3 linked regions of the Saccharomyces cerevisiae S288C genome follow. The protein of the gene in region 3 binds, or shares a complex with, the protein of the main gene of each other region. Each region holds a gene or a part of one and is shown on either strand. Other genes may lie near its edges. A codon is read from its position in the direction of its gene.

What was found.
Region 1: the proteins of SUI2 (region 3) and GCN3 are in contact, whole or in part, in a cryo-EM structure (PDB 6I3M), measured with the Saccharomyces cerevisiae proteins. Residues at the interface, in NP_012540.3 of Saccharomyces cerevisiae: Glu29 (codon at 1,560), Met30 (codon at 1,557), Tyr33 (codon at 1,548), Met45 (codon at 1,512), Leu47 (codon at 1,506), Leu48 (codon at 1,503), Ser49 (codon at 1,500), Glu50 (codon at 1,497), Arg53 (codon at 1,488), Arg55 (codon at 1,482), Ile56 (codon at 1,479), Arg57 (codon at 1,476), Ser58 (codon at 1,473), Lys61 (codon at 1,464), Arg75 (codon at 1,422), Asp77 (codon at 1,416), Tyr82 (codon at 1,401), Ile83 (codon at 1,398), Asp84 (codon at 1,395), Arg88 (codon at 1,383); in NP_012951.1 of Saccharomyces cerevisiae: Pro39 (codon at 1,540), Glu40 (codon at 1,537), Thr41 (codon at 1,534), Ala42 (codon at 1,531), Ala43 (codon at 1,528), Glu44 (codon at 1,525), Ile46 (codon at 1,519), Asn47 (codon at 1,516), Lys50 (codon at 1,507), Met74 (codon at 1,435), Leu78 (codon at 1,423), Leu81 (codon at 1,414), His82 (codon at 1,411), Tyr84 (codon at 1,405), Asp86 (codon at 1,399), Trp87 (codon at 1,396), Arg238 (codon at 943), Asp305 (codon at 742).
Region 2: the proteins of SUI2 (region 3) and GCD2 are in contact, whole or in part, in a cryo-EM structure (PDB 6I7T), measured with the Saccharomyces cerevisiae proteins. Residues at the interface, in NP_012540.3 of Saccharomyces cerevisiae: Arg57 (codon at 1,476), Ser58 (codon at 1,473), Ile59 (codon at 1,470), Gln60 (codon at 1,467), Leu62 (codon at 1,461), Ile63 (codon at 1,458), Lys67 (codon at 1,446); in NP_011597.1 of Saccharomyces cerevisiae: Lys376 (codon at 1,331), Glu377 (codon at 1,328), Lys378 (codon at 1,325), Leu381 (codon at 1,316), Ala382 (codon at 1,313), Gln384 (codon at 1,307), Leu385 (codon at 1,304), Glu631 (codon at 566), Phe632 (codon at 563), Glu646 (codon at 521), Tyr647 (codon at 518), Ala651 (codon at 506).

Annotation. Positions count from the first base shown.
Region 1 is NC_001143.9:488,002-491,466, forward strand, and holds GCN3 (translation initiation factor eIF2B subunit alpha), read right to left. Parts: upstream 1,655-3,465; coding exon 737-1,654; downstream 1-736. Other genes in the region: RPC37 (DNA-directed RNA polymerase III subunit C37), read left to right, coding at 1-617; BCH2 (Bch2p), read left to right, coding at 3,363-3,465. UniProt on the Saccharomyces cerevisiae protein: Acts as a component of the translation initiation factor 2B (eIF2B) complex, which catalyzes the exchange of GDP for GTP on the eukaryotic initiation factor 2 (eIF2) complex gamma subunit.
Region 2 is NC_001139.9:644,360-648,326, forward strand, and holds GCD2 (translation initiation factor eIF2B subunit delta), read right to left. Parts: upstream 2,457-3,967; coding exon 501-2,456; downstream 1-500. Other genes in the region: TOM complex receptor protein TOM20, read left to right, coding at 1-236; mitochondrial 37S ribosomal protein mS44 MRP13, read right to left, coding at 2,764-3,783. UniProt on the Saccharomyces cerevisiae protein: Acts as a component of the translation initiation factor 2B (eIF2B) complex, which catalyzes the exchange of GDP for GTP on the eukaryotic initiation factor 2 (eIF2) complex gamma subunit.
Region 3 is NC_001142.9:449,444-452,663, reverse strand, and holds SUI2 (translation initiation factor eIF2 subunit alpha), read right to left. Parts: upstream 1,645-3,220; coding exon 730-1,644; downstream 1-729. Other genes in the region: MHO1 (Mho1p), read right to left, coding at 1-234; DNA-directed DNA polymerase delta subunit POL31, read right to left, coding at 1,999-3,220. UniProt on the Saccharomyces cerevisiae protein: eIF-2 functions in the early steps of protein synthesis by forming a ternary complex with GTP and initiator tRNA. This complex binds to a 40S ribosomal subunit, followed by mRNA binding to form a 43S pre-initiation complex.

The sequences.
Region 1 (3,465 bases), on a different chromosome or scaffold from region 3:
TCTCCGGAGAAGAGGAGTCACTGCACGTGTTTCAGTATGCTAATAGACCAAGGCTAGTAGGACGCAAACCTGCTGAGCATCCGTTTATCTCTGCAGCAAGATATAAACCCAAGTCGCACCTATGGGAAATAGATATTCCTTTGGATGAGCAGGCCTTCTATAACAAGGATAAGGCTGAGAGCGAATGGAATGGGGTTAATGTCCAAACATTAAAAGGCGTGGGTGTGGAAAACAATGGCCAATATGCAGCATTTGTCAAAGATATGCAGGTTTATTTGGTACCTATTGAGAGGGTAGCACAATTGAAGCCATTTTTCAAATATATCGACGACGCAAATGTAACAAGAAAGCAAGAGGACGCCAGAAGGAACCCTAATCCTTCATCACAACGCGCTCAAGTGGTTACCATGTCTGTAAAGAGCGTCAACGACCCTTCGCAAAACAGACTCACTGGCTCCCTGCTGGCACATAAAGTCGCCGATGAAGAGGCTAATATTGAATTGACCTGGGCAGAAGGCACGTTTGAACAGTTCAAAGATACTATCGTGAAAGAAGCTGAAGATAAAACTTTAGTAGCCTTAGAGAAACAAGAAGACTATATAGATAATCTAGTTTGAAGTACATAATGCATCATGAAGAAAGAACAGCATCAGACATCAGTTTCACATAAAGGATGCTCTTGCGCTTTTTCTCCTTTTCTATTAAGTCATTGCGTGCATATATTATGTGATTTTTTTTAATCATACCACATCTTGATTAACTCTTCTGAAACGGCACTTGGAGTGAGGACCCCTAAATCTGTAATCAATGCAGTAATGTATTCTTGGGCGGTATAGTCGATCGTGGGCCCACGCAATGCATCTTCTAGATCGTCCGTACGACGTGTGAAATCCAAAGGAGGGCCGGCCATAGGTAGATCATCTGAAGACAATGGAAACATACGAACAAATTTGTGACTTTCAGTGACCACATAGAATGGTTTTCTTGCATTATGTGCTAAAACACCCACTGAATAGGTACCCACGAGATTTATAATACCACCTGATTCAGCAACACCCTCAGCACCAACGAACACTTTGTCAACCTTATCGATTACCGCTCCAACCGCGCTATCGACAATAAGAGTCACGGGTATGCCCTTTTGTTCAAGTAAAGTATATAGCTGGTTCCCTTGTTTGCTAGGTCTTGATTCTGTCACCACACATCTGAACCTAATAAACTTATTTGCTGCATGATTTAATAAAGAAAATACTGCTCTCGAATAACCATGTACCAAGATGATATCATCATCAGCTATGAAATCCACCCCTATTTCTGCAATCTTGTTACGCGATTTTTTGGCTCTCGATACAAAAAGCTGGCCATTTTCAATCAAATGTTGTTTACAGTTTTCCCAATCACCGTATAAATGAAGATTTCTTAAGACAAATCTCATGAAAATATCACAACCGGCTCTCAGGGAAACTGAGTTCGGAATGGATTTAATAAGTTCTTCCGTGGAGCTTTTTATTGTATTAATCATTTCTGCCGCTGTTTCTGGTGTTTTTATTCTTAATAGCGTGACCAATGCTTCAATGGCAGCAATCGGCATTGTCATCTCAGTATCTTCTTCTAAAAACCTTAGATAAGTTTCTGTAATATTAAACTCCGACATCCTTCCTCTCGATTTCTGGTATACGTAGGACTTTTAAAATTCTTTCTATCAATTACTATGAAGAAATCTATGATTAATGATGGCTTTGTCACTATTTGAGCAGTATGATTCTCATTTTACACCATAAACTTCACCAATTTTTTCATTTTTTTTTCATTTTTCTTCCGGATGAAATTTATCTATTGTAAAAAAAAAAAAACATTATGCTATGTAGAAAGCTTTAAATATGGCGACAATGTTGCTGTGTTGTATCAAATTCCCTGGATAGAGTCGTGCACTCTTAATGTGGCGAAAATGATGGCATTGCCTCCTTATTCTTTCTCATAAAAGGTATTACTAATCGTTATCTATTACCAACATAAGATATAGCTAGCAATTCTTGTAAGCACAATTACATATGTTTAGTTTTATTTTGAAAAGCAATACAAGCGCAAATTGTTTGGTCTGTTTTGGAGAGATCACCATGTAGCTGGCACTGCTGCAGATTGTCATGTAGTAAACATACTAGTAAAATATTCTTAAAATAATTTGATCAGATCAGTTTTGTTCTTCTATCTCCTATGTCATAACATACCGCTCATTTTTACTATCGTTATGTTTTTCATTCAGAAATTTTATTTTTCTTTAGGTCTTGAGTATCGACTTCCACAACATTGGATGACTGTACCTCACGATTTGTGTATTCTATTTATGCAGTATGTAATAACATATTAGTGTCACGACCGCTAGCCAATATACGATAGTGGATCTTTATTCCAAAAAATACTTATCTAACATGTTTAACAACAGATCAGATACTAAAACTTTTTGTCTGAATAAGAATTAACTACCATCTATGCACTAGCACACAAATTAGCAGTATGTTCTCATACACAGTGTAAGAAGATGACATTAAGAATGAGAAACGGTTATTAAATATAATAGAAGCTGAAATGCAAGCATTGATAACGTAACAAGATAAAGAATAAGCATATAAAGTAAAAAAACGAGACAATAACATTACTATTCATGAATACCGATTCCTTCTTCCGCATTTCTAATATCCTCGAAGAGAACTTTTAGTATATTGTGTATCATAGCCTTCAACAATAATGGAACACCAGTAATTATCATATTATTCAAACATTTCTCAATGATAGCTTTTATTCACAATGGAACCCAACAATTATTTCAAAATTCACACATTTCTTACTTCTTAGAGCAGGATTAGTTGGGTCTGGTAATTTGAACTACTATATTAGGTAAAAAATCATGCAATAAATAGTGCTGATACTTAGGGTTCTCAATTTTTAATGTCTCTTAATAATTCTTGTTCCTCGTGGCCCAATGGTCACGGCGTCTGGCTACGAACCAGAAGATTCCAGGTTCAAGTCCTGGCGGGGAAGAATTTTTTTACTTTTATAATTTTCTTATTATCTTTTCAGTTATTGAGTAAAAATATTATAATATTGGAAATGCTACGTTGCCAGTCCTGGTGCCGTACAATGCCGTATTATTTTAGCAATTCGTCATCAGGTTTCCGAGGCATTGTTACACCGTTTGGGAAAAATAAGATGTATGCACAATGGTGTATCTAAATTCAACATAAAAATAAAAAAAACAAAATGACAAACGGCAATAAAGAGACATTGTGTGCAAAGAAAGGGCATATATATCAAGTAGTATAAGTAGTAAAGTACAGTTAACAGATCAATTGGCCTCGAGGAATATGAGTTTTTTATGGGGGTCTACAAAGTCCAAGAAAGGCAAGAATAAAAAGGCTGCAGGTTCTCTTCCGTCAGGTGTTGTTCCACAGCAACGTGTGAAACCAA
Region 2 (3,967 bases), on a different chromosome or scaffold from region 3:
AACAAGGTAAGGAACTGGAAGCAGCCTCTAAGTTTTATAAAGCATTGACTGTATACCCTCAGCCAGCCGATTTATTGGGAATTTACCAAAGATCCATTCCTGAAGCCATTTACGAATATATTATATTAATGATTGCCATCTTGCCTCCTGCTAATGTGGCTTCTTTCGTTAAAGGAGTTGTTGGAAGCAAGGCCGAATCTGATGCGGTTGCTGAAGCTAACGATATCGATGACTGAGAGTAACATTTTGCTTGCTTTTTTTCTCCGTTTTTGTTTCTTTTACTCTGTATATAGCCCTATATAATTACATCATTTCTCTAGCCTAAATCTTGTTATATATACCAAGCTTTTTGGAAAGCTAAGGATAAAAACAATTCTTTTCATTAGATGTATTTTTTCATCGTATTAGGTGTAATATATATATATATGTATATATATATATATATATAATATATATGTAGTATACACACGTGGACGACCATTAACGAATGTTGTATATGCTTATGCGGAACCTTTGTACTCTCTTAAAATAACAGGGACAGATGAAGGTGGCAAAGCGCCGAATTCAGTGATCACTTTTTTAATATATTCTGGTGGTGTTAAATCGTATAAGATGTTGACAATATTTAACGAAGGTAACTCTTGCCAACCATCCAAAATATTTTTGCTGTTGCTGTCTTCTTCATTACTGGCGTCCTTGCTTTCTCCTTCAGATCCTTTCTTACCGCCAATTTTATTACCCTTTGGCTTATTCTCCATTGCTAGCTTTTTCTTTTCAAATTTTCTTTCTTTGATAAATTGGTTTAATAACGCACCTTTATTACCGCGTCTCTCGACTGGATTTTCGTAATCTATATTAACCAGGTCATTTGGATCTGCCAGTTCATTAAATGTGACACTATCCAATTGTACTCTTTGTGAAAACTTCAAACTTTCGCAGCAGACTAATACAGGTATATTTCTTCTCTTAGCGCTCATAGCCAACATTGCTGTCCCAGCTCTTGAATATAGGAACCCATTAGATAGGATAGAATGGGCTCCTAAAAACACATAGTCCACATCCATATTGAATATCGTATCCAAACTTGTAATAAGTGCATACATAACATTGACACCAGCATTTCTTAAAGTTTCTGCCATTTTCCGCCCTTCAAATAGTGGTCTCGAATCGACGACAATCACTTTGATGTTTTTCTTTAAACTGATTGCATTATGCAGTAACAGTTCAGTTAGAACCTTTGATGAACCATATGTCACAATAGTAGTAGATTCTTCAATTTGTGTAGAGGCATTGTCTATAATTAGTTGATCAGCCAGTTCGATTTTTTCTTTAGCAAACTGCCCAATTTTCTCACAAAGGTCTTTTTTGGCGGCTTTGTCGGGGGTAGATGGGTCAATTAATGAAATTTCTTGCTTTAACCATCTGATAGCATTACCCATAGTAACACTTAAAGGTCTAGCTTTTTTCAAAAGATCAATCTGGTGTGACAAATAACTTGTTAAGTTACGTGACAAGGTAGTTCCCTTAGGTGTTTGATAGTCTTTGATAACAATTTGGAAAACCTCTAGCATGGCTATGCAACGTGGGATGGATCCCACGATTTTATAGTGTGCTAGATGAGAAGTTAATAATAATATCGACGGATGGATAAGGTCTTTATTCAATAAAAGTTCCTTAACAGACGATATCAAGCTGGAGTTGTCAAATGATTGTTCTAACACGGTAGGGATCACTGACGATATACCGGGAATGACATTAAACTCACCAGCCTCTAACGAGATAGATGCCAATGTCTTGGCAACATCAGAAGCGTTTGATGAAGCAATCTCTTGTTGTATAGCTGTTGGAGTATTTGTTGACGCAGAACTGGTACCGGCAGAGAGTGCTGCAGAAGAGGCAGGAAGAGTCGTTGTTGTTGAAGCTGGAGCTGATGCAGATACAGTAGACGACGCGTTTGGACCCACGGGCATCAAGGAAGAAGCCGTTAATACGTTAGATCCTGATAATGCACTAGCCACCACGGGGACCATCAACCCAGCAGCGGTGATTCGCGAAGTTTTTGGAGATGATACTGCACTGGTTAAAGCTAAAATTGTCGCTCTTCTTTCTTCAGTAGTTTCCAGATGACCAAAAAGTGTGCTCTTTTTCACGTTTCGTTCATTTTGTTTTTTTTTATTGGCATTTTTTTGCTTTTGCTCTCTTTTCTGTTGTTGCTCACGTTGTAGTTGTTTCTTCTCTTTTTTCATTTGTGCTTGTTGTTGCTGTTGTTCAATGGATATACCATTAGCCTGCTTCATTGCAGCTCTCTTTGCAGCTTTTTCTTGTTTCTTTAGTTCTTTTAGCTCCTTGTTTGTTAATTTCTTTTCTCCATTAGCTGCAGCTGTAGTTGTTGGAGTAGCTTGTTTAGCTTTACTTGGCGGTGTAGCCGACCTAGATTTGGCTTCCGATTCGCTCATAGCAATTTGATTATCGACGCTTCTTTGACAACGTATTTCTTACGTGGTGAAAATAAGATCTTATGCACTTACGCTGATTATCTATAGCTGGTGATGCCTTGTTGTAGAATACTCATTTTCACTAAACTCGAAAAAAAAAAATTGAAAAATTGGAAAAAAGCGAGAGGTACTGAAAATTGTGAAGAGATTCCCGGGTAAATATAAACATAATTAATACAATAATAGCAATATATGTGACGAACTGTGTTCTACTTTTTAGTATTTACAGGTATGTTTATTTATATATTTCCTATGGGGTGTTTTGGTACTATTTTTCCTCTTTTTCGGTGGATTCCTGAGGAGGTGGTGTTTCCAACAGTCCCAACGCTTTCAAATGCGTGTCGTATGGATCGCTGGATTCACTTAATGCATTTTGATATTGGCGTATAAATTCTTGCAATTCTAGATATTGAGCATTGTGTTGATCGATGTCCAATAATGTTCTTGCAATAAGGTATATCCCCTCGTATTTGCTTAGCAAGTCCTTTAGTTCCGCGCCACTTGATGAATTGGGGATATCTGGTAAACTAATATCTACAGGTTGCAAGCCCGTCAGCTCTGGGGTAAATCCAATCTGTCTACCTAATGTTGCAACAAGAATATTTGCTAGTCCAGTATTATTTTTTCTATTTAATACCTTTTTCCAAGCAACCTGCAGTTTCCTCTGAGCAATTTCTGCATCTTTATAGTCTTTCAACCTATTTCGATGCAAAGCACACATGATATTAGTATTAAAAAAATGCTCGATATCAAATACGGATGGATTTTGCGCTTTGAGAAACTTGTGCTCAATACCATATAAGAGTCCTACCATGTGCGCATATTTACCGATTTTGAAAAATGACGCAGTCAACATCTTTTGAACATGAATTGGTGAGATGTACGTCCAAATAGCGCGCTTTCTTATGGAGGTCCCTGTCCATTCTTTGAACCAATCTAGTAGTTCTGTCGAGTTGGGTTCAACCGAATAAATAAAATCATTTAACGTTTGCTTCGACAGTGGCTTTACGGGAGGTCTCGGTTGTAATGGTTCCCTTGTTTTTGGATCCCTAATATCTTTAGTTAACAATATCTGAGCATTCTTGGGACGGTAAATGAATGGTTTTAGTTTCGCATCTGTCTTGTGGTATATCAAGAATTCATCCAGCTTTGCTTTCGCAATTTCGCCGGTAGATGCAAAACGTCTCCAAACTGTACTTCTGAACATTTTCTTGTTGGTCGTTGCTCGGTGCAATGCCCTTATCAACAGTATTGGTCCCTCATTAATCACCACTGTTATGGTTCCCATTTTCTTAATAAGAAAGGTTTAGCTTTTTTTCAGCACATTTTCTATTACCCTGCATGGTGAGTATCAAATAAGTGCCAATAAATTGGGTATGAATACAACTAAATACATTGACAAAGTGTTCACAACGCATCGAAGCGCTAGACTTGCAAATGTGATGAGGATATATGATATTTTTGGGATATTT
Region 3 (3,220 bases):
CGGCCCCAAGATAAATATTCTCTTAACATTACGGTTCAAATCCAACGATGCGTACGAGTAGGCCATAGTGGGTCCACAATACCTGTAACCGGCATGAGGACATATGATAATTCTGGCGTTGTGAATTGGGCCTTTAAGGGTACTTTTGATCAAGTATGTATGCAGTTGTTGAGATAATTCTTGGGCTCTATTGGAATACCATGAGCCTGCATGTGTTGCTGGACGTATTGACATGTTTGAAAAATTCTATTCTTTGCACTGTAGTCCACCTAAGCCACCGACTAGGACCACTTCACTTAAGTATCAGTCAGACTTTCCTTTGAAAATATATCAGTGTGTATCCGCATGTTATCTGTTTTGTTGAAAATCACATGAGTGGACGGCCCCTTTGTCTTGTCTTAGTGTTCCCCAATGATTTAAATGCAATTCCGAAGGAAAGGGGGGAGCCTCATATTATTACAGCATCACTACCTTTTGAGGTAAAAATATCTCATGTGAAAAAGATAAATTATAGAGAACCGGCAGGGCATGCTCCACTGACAACCCCGTGGTAACAGAAATTAAATTTTGATTATGATTAAATGGATTGTAATATTTATAATAGCCAAATGTACAAGGTGTATATTGCAAAGAATATGATATGGCAGGATATACGTATTTGTTCTATACAAAATTTTCTAAAACAGTATGACACTTGAAAACACCTAGAAAAATTAGGCGCGGCAATGATTACTCGTCGTCTGACTCATCCTCATCGTCTTCAGAGTCAGATCTATTATCTAATTCTTTGCTTTCTAATAGAGCTTGTAACTCAGCGTCTTCAGTAGCAGTGACAGCCTTTGGTGGCATGGTAATGTTGCAAACACCGCCGTATTTTGTAATAACCTCTGTAATTTTTTCAATAGCGCTTTCCAGTTGTTCAATACCTTTTTGCTTATCCAAGGCTTGGGTGGTCAAAACATATAATGGGGCGGCGACTAATTTAACTTTAACTTGCATTTGTTCTGTGGACATGTCTTCAGCTGATTTTAATGCGTCTTTAATGGCATCGATACCTTCGTAACTAAAACAAGACACTTCAACATCGGCTCTAATCTTTACAGCTTGTGGTGTTAATCTCTTGGAGATATAGTTCTTTAATTCATCTAAAACATCTTTTGATGGCGGTTCAATACCTTCCCAAACAGTTTCGTCAATGATGGATAGTTTGAAAGCTTCGTAAGCGTGACCAAATTTTCGACTTAATGGCCAAGCAATGGTCTTATATAGTTCTTCCAAAGGGATTTGGAATTTTTCGGCACAGTATCTTAAAATGGAATGAACAGTCTTAGATTTTTGGTATTTTTCTTCACATTTAATGATATCTTCAGAAGAAACACGACGTTTGGACAAATCAATATAACCTTTTTCTTTGTCGACACGAAGAACAACGGCGACATCATTTTTACCAACACGAATTAATTTTTGGATTGACCTAATACGTCTACGGGACAATTCACTTAGTAGAATCATACCTTCAATGTTGTCATATTCTAACAATTTAACATAAGCACCCATTTCAGCAATCTGCTGGACGTTAACCATGACGATATCGTCAATTTCTGGGTATTTGTTTTCATAAAATCTGCAATGAGAAGTGGACATTATTTGGTGTATTATAGAAGGTGCGTGAGGCAGCAGAAAAGACACAAAAATATGAAGACAAAAACTGATTAGTAAACAGATTGCACTTTACTCTTTAATGACCTAGGAAATAAACAATGGTTGAAAATTTGTAAATGCGATTTTATACTACTATTTCATCAGATTTGTGCTTTCTCTTCTTCTCTTTTTCGCCTCTTCGAAGAAAAAATTTTTCTCCGACTGCGGGTAAGAAAAAACGCTCATAGTTTTTCTACCAGCTGTGACAAGAAACGTATTTTGAGCTGAACGATGAATGCTCACTTTTACATATAAAACTTAATTGCATATCTATGTGGAAATTATTCCTTGTTTTATTTAAATGTCAATCTTGACCGTCTCTGCTTCTAACGTTTCCAAATCCAGTAATATTATCATCCCAGTAGAACTGAATTCAGGGACAGATATTATCTTTATGTTCTTACCACCTATTTCCACTACTCTTGTTCCAAAATATGGCTGGTTTGCCACAATGTAAACGTGGGGCCACTTATCCAATACAAATGGATCCTTATCAGTGTACGGATAACACCATAAGGTATCAGGTGCGGTGGGCGCGATGTTTTGCCATTTCATTGTACATTCCATAAGGTCCAGGCGATGCTCTATATCGTCTTTGAAATCATTACTCTCGCCCTCCTCGACCTTGTTTTCACTTTCTCCGTTATCATTTGATGGTATTACGTATTTACAAATATCATTGATATTTTTGCCTGAAACGGCTAGAACGTCTACGCCATTATAGCTAAACTCATATGGGTTGGTCACTAAATTCAAAATTTCTTTGTTAGAACCGTTGAAGTATGATTCTAGGGACTTATCAAACAATGATTTGTGGAAAGGCTGTTGCGGTAGAGATTTGTCACTTGGATCATTGGTTCCGGGCATAATATCAACAGATATAGATGGCAAAATGTTGTGTAGAAATTTACTGAACTCAGTTAGAGAAATCATCAATTCGTCTTTGTTCACGCTTTTAATGTCGAAGTCAACAGAGTTGCCGCATATCAGTAATCTACCAATTAGAGAAATGTCGTCAATTTTGTTATTGATTCTCCCCATCAAAAATTCTCTCAAAATCTCCAATCTCAATAGCCTATCAGGTGATGTATTATTGAGGTTTAACCCAGAAACAAGAGCAATTTTTCCCCTGGTGGGGCAGGTAGCAATTGGTGCAGGGAAAGGATTTTGTGGTAAAGGAGTGGGGTAGCATATGTCTAAAACTTGAAATGTCCCGGCTTCAGCTTCCATACCCAGTATACCTACAACAACACCCGTGATGAAGGGTGTAGACCGAATAAAATCTCCCACTAGAAGCACTCTCCCACTTTCATCTTCGAGCATAATTTCATCAGAACCACCCTCTTTATCAGTATAACTTTTAGTTAAATCTGGTGCACCATATGTATCATTGATCACTTCGTCCAGTACGTTTGGTTTATATTTCATCTCGCAATATATGGATCCTACGCACCAACATGGTTGGTTTCCCTGAATATCTAACACTTTGTCCTTTTTTAGAACTAATTGGCCATTCAAG